2 linked regions of the Sus scrofa genome follow. The protein of the gene in region 1 interacts with the protein of each later gene in a biochemical or structural test. Links are inferred from orthologs where the notes say so. Each region holds a gene or a part of one and is shown in the gene's direction. Other genes may lie near its edges. The genes, in order: NRIP1 and RARA.

Region 1 (3,817 bases):
AGTCTGAGTGAATTCCAGCCTTAAGTAGTCTCGGAATTTCTGCTTTCTGAGGTATTCCAATTTTCTGCTAGAATGGTGGTAGGTGTTGCCTACCTGCACCCCAGGGGAGTGCACCTAGAATAGCTTTTCAGTAACTACTATCTTTGAGTTACAGGTTGATCTTATTAAAAAATGAGTTTCGGAGTTCCCGTCATGGCTCAGTGGTTAACGAACCCGACGAGGAACCATGAGGTTTTGGGTTCGATCCCTGGCCTTGCTCAGTGGGTTGAGGATCCAGCATTGCCGTGAGCTGTGGTGTAGGTTGCAGATGAAGCTCGTAGCCCGAGTTGCTGTGGCTCTGGTGTAGGCCGGCACCTACAGCTCTGATTAGACCCCTAGCCTCAGAACCTCCATATGCTACAGGAGCAGCCCTAGAAAAGGCAAAAAGACAAAAAAAAAAAAAAAAAAAAAAAAGAGTTTCTATGAAAAGCTCTTTCTTGCCTCATATAATTGGTTTTGTTTATAGAATATTCTTTTCAAAGAGGTTAATGAGAAATAACCATTTGAACTTTGAATTTCTCTTCAAATCTCTTCTAAATTTGTTTCTTGCCAACTTTTCTACAGGATGATATGATGACTTAGTATGTGTGTGTGTGTATATATATATATATATGTATAGTTATAGGTTTTTTTAAGATTTTACTTCTATTATAGTTGATTTATAATGTTCTGTCAGTTTCTGCTATTATAGTTTTATGTGCTCTATACTAACCACATTTTCTAAACCAAAAATTAATGCAGTACCCAAAAACATTTTTTAAATAATGACTTTTATTTTTAAATCCTTTAAATTTTTTTCAAATCACATAATATTTTAATTTATCTGTAATTATTGATAACAAGGTCATACTCAAAGAAATAGCATGGGCAGGGGGAGGAGTATTTTATATTAGGAACATTCTAGAAACTTAGGATGGTAGGCTTATCTGTAACCTGTATTCTGCATCTGCTAGGAGTGCACCTTATTTTACAAGTTCTACATGGAGCACAGATGTAAGAATTTTAAGACAGACGCATTCAAACTTTGCTCGACCTAAATGGGTTTTGTTTTTAATAAGTCTCGGTAAGAACTATGGGTGAATAAGCCTGTGATTTTATGTAAATGTGTATTAACTAAGACTATCACAGTTTGCATGCCCCTTCAGAAGAATCTTACACTTGTTAGGGCTTCCAATTCTTTGAAAACAGAAATTCTCCAAATTCTTTTGGGGATGGCTGATGTTTAGAGGATGATGTCAGAAGCGTTGTGTCGGCCTCAACCTCACATCCAACTCATTAGATGAGTCCATGTCACATGGATCTCTTCTCCTTTTTCCTCTTGTTCCTTCATAAGCTCTGAGTAATGTAAGGAAGCTAGAACTAGCCCCTTGTACAGCTGCAGTGCTATAGGGAGACGACTTAGCATCACATCACTTTGCAGAAAGATGTTTATGAAAATTCAAAAACTTAATGGGCTTTGGAAGACAGTTGTATAACATTAAAGTATTTTCTCTGATTGGATCCTTTTCACGATATGAAATTAATTAATCCATAAGATTTCCAGTAGAGATTTCCAATTTAATAGGAATGGCAATAAAATAAATTACTGAAGAAGCATCTATAATGCATAAATATGTACATTGCATGTGGGTATATATACGCATATCAGCTTACAAGCGCTAGATTGTTTTGCTTTCACATATCAGAGTACAATTCTAATTCTTCACCTCCTTAACTATTTTTTTCTTTAATTTTTCTAGAACACTGATATTTGCATTTATTGGGGAACAAAAGATGAAGAAGAAGCAGTGTATTCACTAAGGATTCTGCTGCTGCTTCTTACTTGGGAGTTGATCAGCTCTATGGTCGGACTGCACTGGGGTCGGCCTGCCATTTATCTCGCCACTGCCAGCAGGAATCCTGGTCGGAATGTAACAGTACACCTCTGTCTAATTACTATGGAAGGTGATAAACTGACACTCACTTATTAACATTACATCTCATTCACCCAAAAAAAAAACCATTCTTCAAAGTGAATAGAAACCAAGCCCTTGTGAACACTTCTATTGAACATGACTCATGGAGAAGAGCTTGGCTCTGATGTGCACCAGGATTCTATTGTTTTAACTTACCTAGAAGGATTACTAATGCATCAGGCAGCAGAGGGATCAGGTACTGCCGTCGACAAAAAGTCTGCTGGGCGTAATGAAGAAGATCAGAACTTTAACATTTCCGGTAATGCATTTCCCACCTGTCAAAGTAATGGTCCAGTTCTCAATACACACACATATCAGGGATCTGGCATGCTGCATCTCAAAAAAGCCAGGCTATTGCAGTCTTCTGAGGACTGGAATGCAGCGAAGCGGAAGAGGCTGTCTGATTCCATCGTCAATTTAAACGTAAAGAAGGAGGCTTTGCTGGCTGGCATGGTTGACAATGTGCCTAAAGGCAAACAGGATAGCACATTACTGGCCTCTTTGCTTCAGTCATTCAGCTCTAGGCTGCAGACTGTTGCTCTGTCACAACAAATTAGGCAGAGCCTCAAGGAGCAAGGGTATGCCCTCAGTCATGATTCTTTAAAAGTGGAGAAAGATTTAAGGTGCTACGGTGTTGCGTCAAGTCACTTAAAAACATTGTTGAAGAAAAGTAAAGCTAAAGATCAAAAGCCTGATACAAATCTCCCTGACGTAACTAAAAACCTCATCAGAGAGAGGTTCGTAGAGTCACCTCATCATGTTGGACAAAGTGGAACAAAGGTCCTGAGTGAACCTTTGTCATGCGCTGCAAGATTACAAGCTGTTGCAAGCATGGTGGAAAAAAGGGCTAGTCCTGCCACTTCACCCAAACCCAGTGTTGCTTGTAGCCAATTAGCATTACTCCTTTCAAGCGAAGCCCATTTACAGCAGTATTCTCGAGAACATGCTTTAAAAACACAAAATGCAAATCAGGCAGCGAGTGAAAGACTTGCTGCTATGGCCAGATTACAGGAAAATGGCCAGAAGGATGTGGGCAGTTTCCAGGTCTCCAAAGGAGTGTCAGGCCATCTTAATGGCCAGGCAAGAACATCATCAAACAAATTAATGGCTAGCAAAAGTACAACATTTCAAAGTCCAATGGGTCTCGTTCCTTCTTCCCCCAAAAATGCAGGCTATAAGAATTCACTGGAAAGAAACAATATCAAACAAGCTGCTAATAATAGTTTGCTTTTACATCTTCTTAAAAGCCAGACCATACCTAAGCCAATGAACGGACACAGTCACAGTGAGAGAGGAAGCATTTTTGAGGAGAGCAGTACACCTACAACTATTGATGACTACTCAGATAACAATCCCAGTTTTACAGATGATAGCAGTGGTGATGAAAGCTCTTATTCCAACTGTGTGCCCATAGACTTGTCTTGCAAGCACCGAACCGAAAAGCCAGAACCTGACCAGCCTGTTTCTCTAGATAACTTAACTCAGTCCTTACTAAACACTTGGGATCCCAAAGTCCCCGAAGTAGATAACAAAGAAGATCAAGATACCTCAAAGAATTCTAGGCTAAATTCACACCAGAAAGTGACCCTTCTTCAGCTGCTCCTCGGCCATAAGAATGAAGAAAATGTAGAAAGAAACAACAGCCCTCAGGAAGTCCACAGTGATGTGACAAAGTTCAGCACACAGAACTATGCTCGGACCTCTGTCATTGAAAGCCCGGGTACCAACAGGACGACGCCAGTGAGCACTCCACCCCTACTTGCATCGGCCAAAGCCGAGTCTCCCATCAACCTTTCCCAGCATTCTTTGGTCATTAGATGGAA
Region 2 (3,817 bases), on another chromosome or scaffold:
TCTGCAACCTACACCACAGCTCACGGCAACGCCGGATCATTAACCCACTGAGCAAGGGCAGGGACCGAACCCGCAACCTCATGGTTCCTAGTCGGATTCGTTAACCACTGCGCCACGACGGGAACTCCCTGTTTCCCCTTTTCTTTTCTTTTCTTTTCTTTTCTTTTCTTTTCTTTTCTTGTCTCTTCTTTCCTTCTTCTCTTTTCTTCTTTTTAACAGCTTTATGGAAGATATAATTCCCATACCATAAAATATAAAATTCGCCCATTAAAGTGTACCATTTGGGAGTTCCCGTTGTGGCACAGTGGAAACGAATCCGACTAGGAACCATGAGGTTGACGGTTCGATCCCTGGCCTCCCTCAGTGGGTTAAGGATCAGGCGTTGCCCTGAGCTCTGGTGCAGGCCGACAACTGTGGCCCTGATTAGACCCCTAGCCTGAGAACCTCCATATGCTGCTAGTGCCGTCCTAAAAAGCAAAAACAAAAACAAAAACAAAAACAAAAACAAAAACAAAACAGTAAAAGAAAGAAAGAAAAGCGTACAATTCGGAGTTCCTGTTGTGGCTCAGTGGTTTAACAAACCCGACTAGTATCCATGAGGATGGAGGTTTGATCCCTGGCCTTGCTCAGTGGGTTAAGACTCTGGTGTTGCTATGAGCTGTGGTGTGGGTCGAGGACACAGCTCGGATCCTGTGTTGCCGTGGCTGTGGTGTAGGCTGGCGGCTACAGCTCCCATTGGACCCCTAGCCTGGGAACCTCCATATGCTGTGGGTGCGGCCCTAAAAAGACAAAGAAAAAGTGTACAATTCACTGGTTTAGAGTTGTGCAACAGTTACCACAATCACTTTTAGAAAATTTTCATCACTCCAGAAAGAGCCCCCATACTCATCAGCAGCCACTTCCCATTTCCTTTAGATCCACGCCCCAGACCTGGTAACCACAATCTGCTTTCTGCCTTTAGAGATGTGCCTGTTTGGGACATTTCACATAAATGGAATTGTACAATATGTGGTCTTTTACAACGAGCATAATCTTTTCAAGCTTTACGCGTATTGTCATGTATTTCAGCACCTCGTTCCTTTTGATGGCAGAATAATATTCCATTGCATGGATGACCAACATTTTATTTACCCATTCATCTGTTGATGGACATTTGGGTTGCTTCTACTGTGGGGCTGTTAGGAGTGTTGGTATGAGCATCCGCATCCGGGTGCCAGTTTTTGTGTGGATTTATGTTTTAATTTCTCCTGGGTCAAAACCTAGGAGTGGAATTGCTGGATCATACAACCCTGTGTTTAACCTTTAAAGGAACTGCCGCACTGTTCTGCAAAGCAGCGGCACCGGTTTCCATTCCCACCAGCAACGTATGAGGGTTTTGCTGTCTCCATGTGCTCACACACCTGTTATTATCAGTCTTTTTTTTTTTTTTTTTTTTTTTGGTTTTTAGGGCCACACCTGTGGCATATGGAGGTTCCCAGGCTAGGGGTTTAATCGGAGCTACAGCTGCCGGCCTACACCACAGCCATAGCCCTGCCAGATCCGAGCCACATCTGCAACCTACACCACAGCTCTCGGCAACGCTGGATCCTTAATTCACTGAGCAAGGCCAGGGATTGAACCTGCAACCTCATGGTTCCCGGTCAGATTCATTTCCGCTGTGCCACAACAGGAACTCCTCTGTTATCATCAGTCTTTTTGATGATAGCCGTCTGAGTAGATGTGAAGTGATATCTCGTGGTTTTGATTGGCCAGGTTTCTTTTGCCTTTCCTGTGTGTCGTGTGTGTGTGTGTGTGTGTGTGTGTGTGTGTACATATAAACACATGCCTTTGACTTACATTGTTTATGTATATCCTCCTACACCCCAGGTGGATTTGAAGCATCGTCTTGTGGATGCTTCTCTTTCTCCACCTCTTTCTTTGCTTTGTTGCCGCCTGTCTCACTGTGTCATGGAATTTCGGGGTTCTTCTCTGTCTCTTGCTACCCAGGGTTCTATCTGTGCGTGTCTTCTGGTCCCAGCTGTTCAAACAGGGTGTGGATCTGCCTGCACACCAGTTGAGGGGGGTGCTTTTGGCCTCTCATCTTCTGCCCACCTCCCTCCCTCTGGGGACGTTGCTTCTGCAGACCGAGTGTGGGGATGGACTCTGAGACCAGTCTCCTTTGCTCCTTCATTGCTTGGGAGGAGGGGGCTTCCACCCTGGGCAGTCCCTGCCCTCCTGGCACGCTGCCCACCCCCGGCCCATCATGCTCTTAAGCACTGGAGGTGATGCCCAGGGGCCCTCAGTTCCCGTTTCCCTGTTTGTATGTAAGCACGCAGGCCTCCTCCCTGCGCCTGTGGGACAAACCCATCTGGGGTGCTCGGGCTTGGATTTGGGGGGGAAGTGGTGTAAGAGGGGCCCCCTGGTTTAGGAGTCATTTTTCTGAGAAGTGCCAATGCTTTAGGGAAGCGGCTTTTCCTCCCCCTCCCCCCTCCCATCCAGCGCACGTCTCTGCATCTTGACCTCAGGTAACCTGCTTTGAGGGAAGGAGGGCCAGCTGCCTTCCTCAGCTGCAGGAATCCTCGGGGGTGGCATGGCACGGTGGCCCCTTTCCTCTCAGGATCGTGGGTGAGAGGCCCTCCTGGGCTCTGGGCTCTGTCCCCTGTCGTCTCCCCAGCCTGGCTGTGCGGTCCTGCCACCCCCAGCAGTGTCTGGGCCCTGCTCCCAGGCTGTCTCTGCCAGCCAGGCATGGTGCCAGCTGTCTGCTCAGCCGGGTGCCACGGGAAAATCTCCGGCCGCCCAGGTTGGGGAGCTCCGCGGGGAATGCCTGCTCCTTGGTGCCCACTCACCTGCCTTTCTTCTCTCTGCAGCATCGCAGGACATGGCCCCTCCAGCCGCCTTGCCAGGGCCCGTCTAGGAGAGGCATCCTTTTCAGCATCCTTCCAACCGGCTCTGGACCTTCCCGGGAAAGTGCCAGCTCATACAACCGCTTGACCAGAGGACCAGCTCTTAGGACGTTCCCCAGCCCACCTGGCCCCCAGCCCGAGTGGGGGCTCCGGGAGGCTGCAGTTAGCCTGCGAGCCTTGGACCGAGCAGCTCCAGGACAAGAAGGGGGGGTGGGCTGACCACCCAAACCCCCTCTGGGCCCCGGCCCCATGCCCCGAGGAGAGGCGGCCTGAAGCCCGCCAGAGCCTCCTGCCAGACTGTCTGCCTGCTCTTGTGACTGTGGCTGCTTGGCATGGCCAGCAACAGCAGCTCCTGCCCAACACCCGGGGGAGGGCACCTCAATGGGTACCCGGTGCCCCCCTACGCCTTCTTCTTCCCCCCCATGCTGGGGGGGCTCTCCCCGCCGGGCGCTCTGACCACTCTCCAGCACCCGCTTCCAGTTAGCGGCTACAGCACACCGTCCCCAGCCAGTAAGTGGGGTGGCGGGCACGGCGGGAGGGGGGCCGTGGAGGGTAGTGGGCCTGAGGCTGGGCCTCTGGGCGCATCTGTTCCGCCGTGGTGAGATCTCCAGACAAGGGGGACAGTCGTTGGGGAGGCAGCATCGAGGATGAAAGGCTTGGGGCCCGTCACGGTGCTTGTGTTTGGCGTTGGGGGTGGCAGAGGGAGAGATGAAACAAGGCTGACCCGCAGGGCCCCTTATGCCCCCCTCCTGTGCTCTGCGTTGAGGGCCTTATAAATAGCTCCAAGGACCGGCCACGGAGGCCGGAGGCGGGTAAACAAACCTCTCGACATTGGGTGGAAATGGCCCCCGCTCTGCCCAGAGCCCCACCCCATCCAGGGCCTCGGAGGGAAGGGGCTTGAAGGAGTAGAAGCCCCTCCCCAGGCTCTGCCAGCT

The links.
Region 2: the proteins of NRIP1 (region 1) and RARA form a complex in vitro, tested with the Homo sapiens proteins (4 studies listed by BioGRID). The link is inferred for Sus scrofa from reciprocal best matches to the Homo sapiens genes NRIP1 and RARA.

The regions. Positions count from the first base shown.
Region 1 is NC_010455.5:179,829,151-179,832,967, reverse strand, and holds part of NRIP1 (nuclear receptor-interacting protein 1), read left to right. Parts: intron 1-1,778; 5' UTR 1,779-2,090; coding exon 2,091-3,817. UniProt on the Homo sapiens protein: Modulates transcriptional activation by steroid receptors such as NR3C1, NR3C2 and ESR1. Also modulates transcriptional repression by nuclear hormone receptors.
Region 2 is NC_010454.4:22,072,009-22,075,825, reverse strand, and holds part of RARA (retinoic acid receptor alpha), read left to right. Parts: intron 1-2,513; exon of another isoform or gene 2,514-2,604; intron 2,605-2,846; 5' UTR 2,847-3,214; coding exon 3,215-3,392; intron 3,393-3,817. UniProt on the Homo sapiens protein: Receptor for retinoic acid. Retinoic acid receptors bind as heterodimers to their target response elements in response to their ligands, all-trans or 9-cis retinoic acid, and regulate gene expression in various biological processes.